Tribolium castaneum: one gene and its partners. The main gene of each other region encodes a partner of the protein of the gene in region 3 in a complex. Links are inferred from orthologs where the notes say so. Each region holds a gene or a part of one and is shown on either strand. Other genes may lie near its edges.

Region 1 (2,633 bases), on a different chromosome or scaffold from region 3:
GCCCGTCAGTGTTGCCAACCTAAATTTCAAAGTCAGTGCCTACTTTGGCCCGATTTTTAACCAATTTGCAGGCAACGTTGCAAAAATCACAGAAAGCGACCTCAAAGAAGTGGGAATTGTGAATAAATCGGACCGGGTCCACATTTTAGACGCATTCCAAATGTACCGAAAGGAGCAAATACCGACCGATACGGCCCCCTCAGCTCCAGTGCTGCCAATCGAAGAGGCAAGTGCGCCACCACTCGAAAATGTCGCAAATTTGGGGACTGAATGCGTCATTTGTTTGGACTCAACTGTATGTTGTTTATCTCAAATTAAGGCGAATTTTGGTGTTTTTTTTTTGCAGTGTGAGGTGATTTTCGTGCCATGTGGACACTTCTGTTGCTGTTCCCAGTGTCCTGTGACCTTGAACGACTGTCCAATGTGCAGGACTTCAATCGAACGCAAAATTAGAATAATTTCATAGTTCGTTCAACTGCCGTCACTTTTTTTGCTCAGTGTTGCTAAAGTGTGAATTCTGCACGATTTGTGGCCTTAATCTAGTCAGTTGTTACTTTTTCTCATGAATAAAAAACTATCACAAAAAATTTATTTTTTATTACGATTCTCCCGTTTCTTCCTCTTCCACGGCCTCCTCGTCGTTGTCTTCCGCCATTTCAACGTCGGCCCCCTTCTTCACTTTCTTCTTCTGCTTCGCTTCTTTGAAATCTGAAGTCGGTTTTTGAAACGTGAACATAACCTCAAAAAAAAACTAACCTCTCAGCATCACACTTAAGGGCTCCACGAATTCGTCAAACTCGAGCTCTTCTAACGCTGTTAGAATGTCTTGACCCAGAAGAGTCTTTCTGTTCACTTTTTGCGCCTCTTTGGTGGCTTGTGAGGTTATGTACAGGACAAAAATTGAAGCGGCCCTTGACAGGGCCGAACGGGCGTCTTTACCAACACTGACGTGTTCAGGCAATGCGTCTTTAATTATCTTTTGCACCGTCATGTTCGGCAAATTCAAATCTTCCAGTTTTTCGGCCATTTGGTCACAAAATTCACAAAATTACTTTTCCCACCAAAAACAAAAAACGCGCATGCGCAATGCCAACCGCCATGTTTGAATTTTGATTAAAAAATCATTAATTTGTTTATTATTGGTCACCTAATAATTATAAATTTGTGTTTTTTGTTTAATTAAGCTTGGGGGGCTCGTGACGAATGGGGTGGTTTATTTTAGGGGCTGTTTTTTGCAGTTTTGGTGGGGGGCCTTGAACTATTCACCCTTGTTGGCCTTGGTTATTGAGGTTATGTTATAAACGGTTGACGTTTTGAAAATATGTGAAAAAGGTGAGTTAATTTTGCATTTTCTCACCTAAATTAACACAAATGTGGGTCAATTCGTGAATTGTACGTCAGTCTAATCAATTTCCAGTCGTAATTCGCTAAAAAAAGGGGGTTCAGAAATGTCCATAAGCCAAGTGGAAAATGTCAGCACTCGTGTAAAAAACACAAAAAAAGAGATCGAACAGCTCAAAACCGAGCTAGAGAAGCTCATAAGTCTTGGGACCCAGCCCCCTGAGCCCCCCACCCACAAGCCAGCCCCTGATACCCAAACCGTTAAAAAAAAGGCGCCCCCCGATCCCGAGAAAAAGCCCCGCAGTTATGACGTCACCGAGGCGCGTAACTACATCAAAAAACAGCGGGAAAAACGCGCCGAACAATTGCGGGCCCAAATCAACACCACTGACAATAAACTCGATCTGAAAAAGCAAAAACTGAAAGAATTACACCAGAAAACACTCGAGCTGGTGACAAAAAACGTGCAGTTGAAGCGCGAACGCTCGAAATCGCGGGACAAGGGCGAGCCCCCTGTCCGGATCGACCGCTCGAAGGCGCGGGAGAAAGGGGGCCCCCTTGTCCGAACCAACCGCCCGAAGTCACAGGACAAGGGGGGCCCCCCGAAAATCGACCGCTCGAAGTCGCCCGCACAAAAAGTTTCTGAGGGCTCCGAAAAGACGCAAAAAAGCGAGAGAATTTCGAGGGCCAAGGCCCGGGAGCCCCAGAAATTGGCGAAAACGTCGTCTGAGGCGAAAGAGACGCAAACGTGCGACAAGGGGGCGCCCTGGCTGGAGCCCCCTTGTGCGGCGTATCCGTACAATTTTATAAACACAGTTAAGAGAAAATTGCAGTTTGCTGTGAATTCGCCCCGGAATTTTATCGACATTGGGGTGCAGAATTCCGGGACTCCGCCCCTGGAAACAAAATCGAGGGAAGAAATTAAAGAACTGTTGATTAAAAGTGCCAAAAGTGAGTTGAGATCGTTTGTTTCGCACAAATGTCTCGACTTGAAGCCTGTGGAAAATTTAGAATTGAGAGAAGTGTCGAAAAATTTGTTCAATAATTGTGATAGTGGTAGTGAGTCGGATACTTCGAAAAATATTCCCGACATTTCGAGTGAAAGTCTAAAGCTCGATTTCGATAAATTGAAAAACTACAAGTTGCAGAAAAGTGACGATAGTTACAGTTCGGATTTTCACAAAGAAAGTGTTTCATTTAAATCGCTCCTAACTGAAAAAAAAGTATCGAAAAATTTCTCTGATTCGGATTCGGTTCCCGAATCTTTGACGATGAAACAACCAAATGTTTCG
Region 2 (2,714 bases), on a different chromosome or scaffold from region 3:
TTACTTTTTTTTCAACATTCTAAAATATCATGCTTGGGTAAGCGCACTATTTGCGATAATGATGAAAAAATCTGGAGAATTTACTTACACGAGTTCATTCACATAACCTCAATGTACGGCAGCTTTGCGCCTTTTTGTATCTCTAGTTTGCTTATCAAAAAAACTATTTTTGTATTAAATATAAAAATTGTTCTGCGGTTACGTGCTAAATGGAAATTAAATAACTTTTTTTCTATTAGAAAATGACATTATCTTGGGGATATTTCAATGAAAAAAGTGTTGCCAAGATCAAAACATGGCAAACATGTTACGTTGGCACTTAGTTGGCGCTTAGTTTTAAAGGTTTTTTTTCCATTTATTTAATAATTATTTTTATTACTTAATTATTTACAGGGACTACATTACCAAGACTGTAATAATGAGTGTTTTTCAGCGTTAGGAAATTGGTTATTTTATCCTGTTTAGACTTCGTACGCATAAGATTGCAGATGAATAATTTTCTTGTAAAAAACGTTGGGTCACTATTTATTGAATGTTTGTGGTTGATACAAAGCCTAAATCTAAGATATTAAAAAATAAATGAAAACAATAACAAAATATTTAAAGCGTTTAATAAATCATTCGTAATCATCATCATTGTTTGGTAGAGCCGAAGCTTGGGCTTGTGCCGCAGCTTGTAGTTGCTCCCATTGCTGTTGCTCCACAAAAGCCTGCTCTTGCCTAGCCTTGGCGAACAACTCCTGCTGTTGTCTCAACAACTCCTCTTCTGGTATTCCCAAATTTTCTAACCTTGTGCTCTGTCGCCTGCGTTTCGCTGCAACAGCCTTACAGTCCTTAAGAACAGCTTCAGCTTCGGTTTGATAATCTCCAAAACCCAACTTTTCTAAAGCTGCGAAAAACTTTACTTTTGTGTTGTTTAACAATGATGAAACATACCCATCAAAACGTGTTCCGCATTTATAGTCTTTTTGTCCAATCGATTACATATTTCGTTCGCTTCAGAACTAAGCAAATGGATAAATTCCGTACAACAGTTGAGGATTAATTCCCTTGCTTCATTTGCAACTCGAACTGATGGGACTAACTCCTTTATCATTTTGTTAATGCTAGCCCGAGGCAAAGTCAGCTCATCGTCTTCGGTATTTGTTAAACCACCAGCATTATTTTGATTAGACATTGTAAATTGTTATATTTATCAACAAAAAAGAGATATTTAACCTCAAATAGGGACAGCTGGAACAATTTGACATGTCAAGGATAATGCTGTTAGAGTCCGCGAAATGACAGATCGTCATTTGTGTGAAGACAGCTCCCAAAACCAGCTCCTCGAATTTCCGAAGAGACCCGAACATGAAGCCAGTTTCAGACTAGCAAAATAAGTTTCAGTTTGCTTAGATGTATGTTTGGTTGTCAGCTTTGAAACCGTTTAATAAAATAAAAATCCGAAAAAACACTAAACACCCTCTTAAAAATGACATTTTAAGAAAGTCACTATGCTAATAGCGAAAAACTCAATTATTTACCACAAATTGCTTTTTAATTTTTCCCACTTTTTCACCTAATTTCAATATTTATGGCTCCGCAAATGCATTATTGTAGTTTTCGCCCCATTTCACCCCGAAATCGGTTTTGTCACACAATGCCCTTTTGACCACTAATTCAACAATAAAAAAGACGTTTTTTAAAAATAAAATTATGGCCTTTTAGTTGTCGGAACAATGTTAAAAATTGTTATGTTGCCCAGCTCCGCAAATGCACTGTTGCAGTTTTCGCCCCATTTCACCCCGAAATCGGTTTTGTCACACAATGCCCTTTTGACCACCAATTCAACAATAAAAAAGACGTTTTTTAAAAATAAAATTATGGCCTTTTAGTTGTCGGAACAATGTTAAAAATTGTTATGTTTTCCAGCTCCGCAAATGCACTATTGCAGTTTTCGCCCCATTTCACCCCGAAATCGGTTTTGTCACATAATGCCCTTTTGACCACCAATTCAACAATAAAAAAGACGTTTTTTAAAAATAAAATTATGGCCTTTTAGTTGTCGGAACAATGTTAAAAATTGTTATGTTTTCCAGCTCCGCAAATGCATTATTGCAGTTTTCGCCCCATTTCACCCCGAAATCGGTTTTGTCACATAATGCCCTTTTGACCACCAATTCAACAATAAAAAAGACGTTTTTTAAAAATAAAATTATGGCCTTTTAGTTGTCGGAACAATGTTAAAAATTGTTATGTTTTCCAGCTCCGCAAATGCATTATTGCAGTTTTCGCCCCATTTCACCCCGAAATCGGTTTTGTCACACAATGCCCTTTTGACCACCAATTCAACAATAAAAAAGACGTTTTTTAAAAATAAAATTATGGCCTTTTAGTTGTCGGAACAATGTTAAAAATTGTTATGTTTTCCAGCTCCGCAAATGCACTATTGCAGTTTTCGCCCCATTTCACCCCGAAATCGGTTTTGTCACACAATGCCCTTTTGACCACCAATTCAACAATAAAAAAGACGTTTTTTAAAAATAAAATTATGGCCTTTTAGTTGTCGGAACAATGTTAAAAATTGTTATGTTTTCCAGCTCCGCAAATGCACTATTGCAGTTTTCGCCCCATTTCACCCCGAAATCGGTTTTGTCACATAATGCCCTTTTGACCACCAATTCAACAATAAAAAAGACGTTTTTTAAAAATAAAATTATGGCCTTTTAGTTGTC
Region 3 (3,860 bases):
ATTTGCGAGCCGTGCACCGACAGCCCCACGTTCTACGACTGGCTTTATTTGGGGTTTATGGTGCTCCTGGTCCAGATTCTGCACTGGTTTTTCATCGACATGGTGTCGATGCGACGAAGGTGAGCCCCCTATTGCCCGTCACACCTTCACTGTTCGTTGTAGCTTCAAAAAAGACGTCCTAATTTTACACTTGACTGCGCTGGTGGAAGTGGTCATTTCGGGGCTCTTGTCGGTGCTTTTCACGCACCCGTTCGGCGAGTTCCAGGTGCGGAACTGCAGAGTGCGCAGCTTGGCCGATTGGTACACTTTGTTGCATAATCCGGCCCCGGATTATGAGAAGAGGGTGCATTGTACCCAGGAGGCTGTGTATCCCTTGTAGGGCTACTAATTGATTATACTACTTTATTGAGTGTTTTTGTTTTAGGTATACGCTAGTTTTTATTTTTTATGCCCTGACTTTGATTGTTATGCTTTTGATAAGGCCATGGGTTTGCCGGAAATACCTTCCAAGGCAGAGCAAAATGTCGATTTATGCCGCCATGTACTATATACCGATTTTGGTGGTGGTCCATGCCCTAATTGGGGGACTTCTTTGTACGTAATGATTGCGCCAAAAATCACACTTTTGATTGGTTTTGTTCCAGATTATGCGTTCCCAATTTTGGTCGTTATTTTGTCAGTTATTTCGTGTGCTTATCACTTTGCCCTCAAAATCAACCAATCGATTCCCTCACTCATCATAACAACAGTTGTAGACCCGAGAAATGTGGTAATCTTAGTGGGCCATTGGTGTTTACACGCCTATGGTTTAATTTCAATAACTCAGCTTAGTGACCCGACTTTTCACTCATTGTTGCTACTGTTGGTCCCACTGCCGGCTTTTTTTTACATTTTCACGGCCAGGTTTACCGACCCGACAATATTTACGTAATTTATTTTTTAATAATAATAATAAACTAAAAACAGATTTATTTTTTCTCCTCCTGAACCTTCCGCTCCAAATCGCTAATTAGCGAATCGATTTCCTCAACTGAGAAAACCTTCTTCTTCACAAATCTATTGTTTAAGTGGCTTTTGTCCTAAAAATTTCACTAAAAAGGGAGGGAAATCTCTCAAAAAGCTTACCCAAAAATTGATATATTCGGGCGAAATCGTTTCAAGGAACAATATCCGGTCTTCTAGTTTCTTCAAACGGGTGTAGATATTTTTCGGGGTTGGGGTGGTCAAACTGAGTTGGATTTCCAGGTTTTGGAGGCGCTCCTCAATGCCGTTTTGGGGGATGTATTTGGTCAGGTAGTCCGAATTTGTTTGGTCGCGGTGGTAAGTGTTCAAAACCCGACTTACTGCAAAAAAATTAGTCTGAAATACTTGTTTTTCGAAAATCGTCCGAAAAGTAGCACTTTTCCCCGACATTTTTTGCTAAATTTATAGAGGGTTAGTCTGTTAAAAATATATTTCTCGTGTTGACCGTGCAGTTTCTTTGCTCTTTTTTTTCAGTCAATTTTTACTCGGCGCCATGGCCTCCTTGATGTATTATTTTTAACGAAGTTGTCTGCATACATCAAGGAGGTCATGCTCGGCACATTTGTGTCCTGTCCGTAAAGTCTTAATTTTTTCGTTAATTTTTTTATTTTCAGATAAAAATGTGTTCTCTAAACATTAATGAAAAATGTCTGGTGCCAAATAGAATAACCCTGTGCAGTTGTATACTTTTAGCAGACTTGTAAAAATTGGAATAAAAATCGTAAAATTGTGATTTTTTAAGGGCCACGAACCTTGCAAATGGCCATTGGAGTCTTTGCGTTTTTGCAAAACCGCATCGACTCGGGCGCAAGTGAACTCTGAACTTCGATTACTTGTGCAAAACTCTCTCACATTGCTTATGTTGATTTCGTTTCGCTTCATCTCCATAAAATTCTCGATTCGTTTGCTCAAGTCCGCGTTTGAGGCCTTGATTTGAATCAAATGGGGCGAAACGTTGGGAATTTCGACTTTGGGCTCGATTTCGAGCTTGAATTTTTTCGGTTTGGGGGCTATAAATGAGAGCCAATCAATTTTAGACTTTATTTACTTGACCACCCACATTCTTTATTTTCCTTCCACTGTGGAGGAGTTTCAGTTTCAGCGTAAATCTCCTTTTTCCAAATAGGCACACTCTCTTTAACCTTGTTGATGCACCAGTCGGTGGCTTGCAGCGCCTCGGTACGGTGGGGGGACGCGATTGCAATTACAATGCTAGCCTCCTTGACCCCCACAACCCCCAGTCTGTTAAACAAAAAAAAATCAAAATTTGGCCCCAATTTAAATTTTTCAAACCTGTGATAGATTGCGATATTTTCGACTTGAGGCCACTTGGCCCTGATCTCCCCGCACACTTTTTCGAGACACTTCAAAGCCATGGCTTCGTACGCCTCGTACTCCAATTTAAGGACGGTTTTTTCCCCGAAACTGTCTCTGGTGGTCCCCATAAAAACCGAGACTGCGCCACATTTCGGCGAGGCGACTAGATCAGTCAACGCCTCAACACTTAGCTTGTCTTCGGTGAATTTCAAAAAATTCATTTTGGGGCCCTAACCGCCACTCAGAGGTGGGATTATTGCTACTTCGTCGCCCTGTTTTAACACAATTTCGACACTTTCCACGTCGCAAAACTCCTCATTGAGGGAGAGAATAATGTTTTGGGCAATTTCGGCCAAAAAATACGTGCCGACGAGTGTTTCTAAAAGCTTTTTGTAGGAGATGGGGGACGGCAGGTCAAGTTCGGCGGATTTTTGGCCCACGATTTCTCTCGATTTAGCGAAAAACAACACTTTGACGGTCACTAACATATCATAGTGTTGTTGCGCTTACATAATCACCGAATTGAAGCAAAATAATTACTTTTATCACTACTCTGTTTATATTTGAAACGACATATTTAGAGCGCAAGTTGTCAAATTTTTAACCTCACTTTCTTACGAATAAAATGCAATTAAAAATCTTTTTTTCGAATGCTTTGGAAGCTGTTTCCTTTTTTCCTGACAAGAATGCTCTAAACCTAATTTGCTGGACAAATTAGTTAATAATTTGACTAATTAGAGCAATCCTTAAATGTATTGCTAATTGTTTTTTTACAGCCGTAAAAAAAGGTCCCAATGGCTGTTTGTCCGAACATGATTTTTTACAGTCGAAGGCCCTAACGAAGGGCTTAATTTCCTGCAAAAATAAAGAACATTGCAGGATATAACGGGGGTGAAAAAAAAAAACAAAATAATTAAAAACGTAACGAGAACAGCTTGTTTTATTTAAACTTGGGCAATTATTGCCCCCGAAAATGCGCTTTGCTATGACAACAATTGTTTGATCAATCAAACGTTATGGAGTCGCTCCAAAGGCCCCAAATAATCTGCCACGTGCAGCAAGCCCTGAACTACACCGTCCACGACGTCAAGTGGATCCCCTGTTCCGCGAAATTCGTCTCAATCGGGGGCAAATCAAACGGGGCTGGAATTATCGAGACCTACTCAATCAGTGGTGATGGGATCGAAAAAGTGGCCGAATTCGGCAAGAAAGACCACTTTAAATGCGGCACGTTTCACGCCTCGAGTTTAAGAGACCGCCACCTTGCGACTGGCGACTTCAGCGGGCGGTTACAAGTCTGGTAAGTCGTCCAAAAGTTGGCCAAAATTTTTAAGTCTCGTAGGGATTTGGAGGAGAATTTAATCCCGATTTATAAGACGGAGAAGCACCGCGGGGTCATTAACGCCATTGATGGAGTTGCGGGGGTTGCCAGTGGGTGCGGGGCCCCCGAAATAGCCACCGGATCTAAAGACGGTACTGTAATTTTTTATTGAAAGTCATTGCTCGAACATTTTTAGGGG

What was found.
Region 1: Mocs2B (region 3) and DNA polymerase epsilon subunit 3 share a complex: the UniProt entries of both Drosophila melanogaster proteins name them as parts of the ada2a-containing (ATAC) complex. The link is inferred for Tribolium castaneum from reciprocal best matches to the Drosophila melanogaster genes Mocs2B and Chrac-14.
Region 2: Mocs2B (region 3) and NC2beta share a complex: the UniProt entries of both Drosophila melanogaster proteins name them as parts of the ada2a-containing (ATAC) complex. The link is inferred for Tribolium castaneum from reciprocal best matches to the Drosophila melanogaster genes Mocs2B and NC2beta.

Annotation. Positions count from the first base shown.
Region 1 is NC_087394.1:1,508,899-1,511,531, forward strand, and holds DNA polymerase epsilon subunit 3, read right to left. Parts: upstream 1,100-2,633; 5' UTR 1,028-1,099; coding exon 757-1,027; intron 709-756; coding exon 599-708; 3' UTR 583-598; downstream 1-582. Other genes in the region: E3 ubiquitin-protein ligase LRSAM1, read left to right, coding at 72-295, 347-466; centrosome-associated protein 350-like, read left to right, coding at 1,449-2,633. UniProt on the Drosophila melanogaster protein: Accessory component of the DNA polymerase epsilon complex. Participates in DNA repair and in chromosomal DNA replication. Histone-like protein which promotes nucleosome sliding of ATP-dependent nucleosome remodeling complexes.
Region 2 is NC_087398.1:1,910,213-1,912,926, forward strand, and holds NC2beta (protein Dr1), read right to left. Parts: upstream 1,297-2,714; 5' UTR 1,178-1,296; coding exon 937-1,177; intron 890-936; coding exon 618-889; 3' UTR 595-617; downstream 1-594. UniProt on the Drosophila melanogaster protein: Bifunctional basic transcription factor. Activates transcription of DPE (Downstream Promoter Element) containing promoters while repressing transcription of promoters which contain TATA elements.
Region 3 is NC_087396.1:21,505,759-21,509,618, reverse strand, and holds Mocs2B (molybdopterin synthase catalytic subunit), read right to left. Parts: upstream 2,562-3,860; coding exon 2,317-2,561; intron 2,266-2,316; coding exon 2,084-2,265; intron 2,034-2,083; coding exon 1,776-2,033; intron 1,344-1,775; coding exon 1,126-1,343; intron 1,080-1,125; coding exon 969-1,079; 3' UTR 932-968; downstream 1-931. Other genes in the region: JNK1/MAPK8-associated membrane protein, read left to right, coding at 1-119, 163-375, 425-594, 645-931; Mocs2A (molybdopterin synthase sulfur carrier subunit), read right to left, coding at 2,571-2,828; Wdr92 (dynein axonemal assembly factor 10), read left to right, coding at 3,357-3,640, 3,683-3,813, 3,858-3,860. UniProt on the Drosophila melanogaster protein: Catalytic subunit of the molybdopterin synthase complex, a complex that catalyzes the conversion of precursor Z into molybdopterin.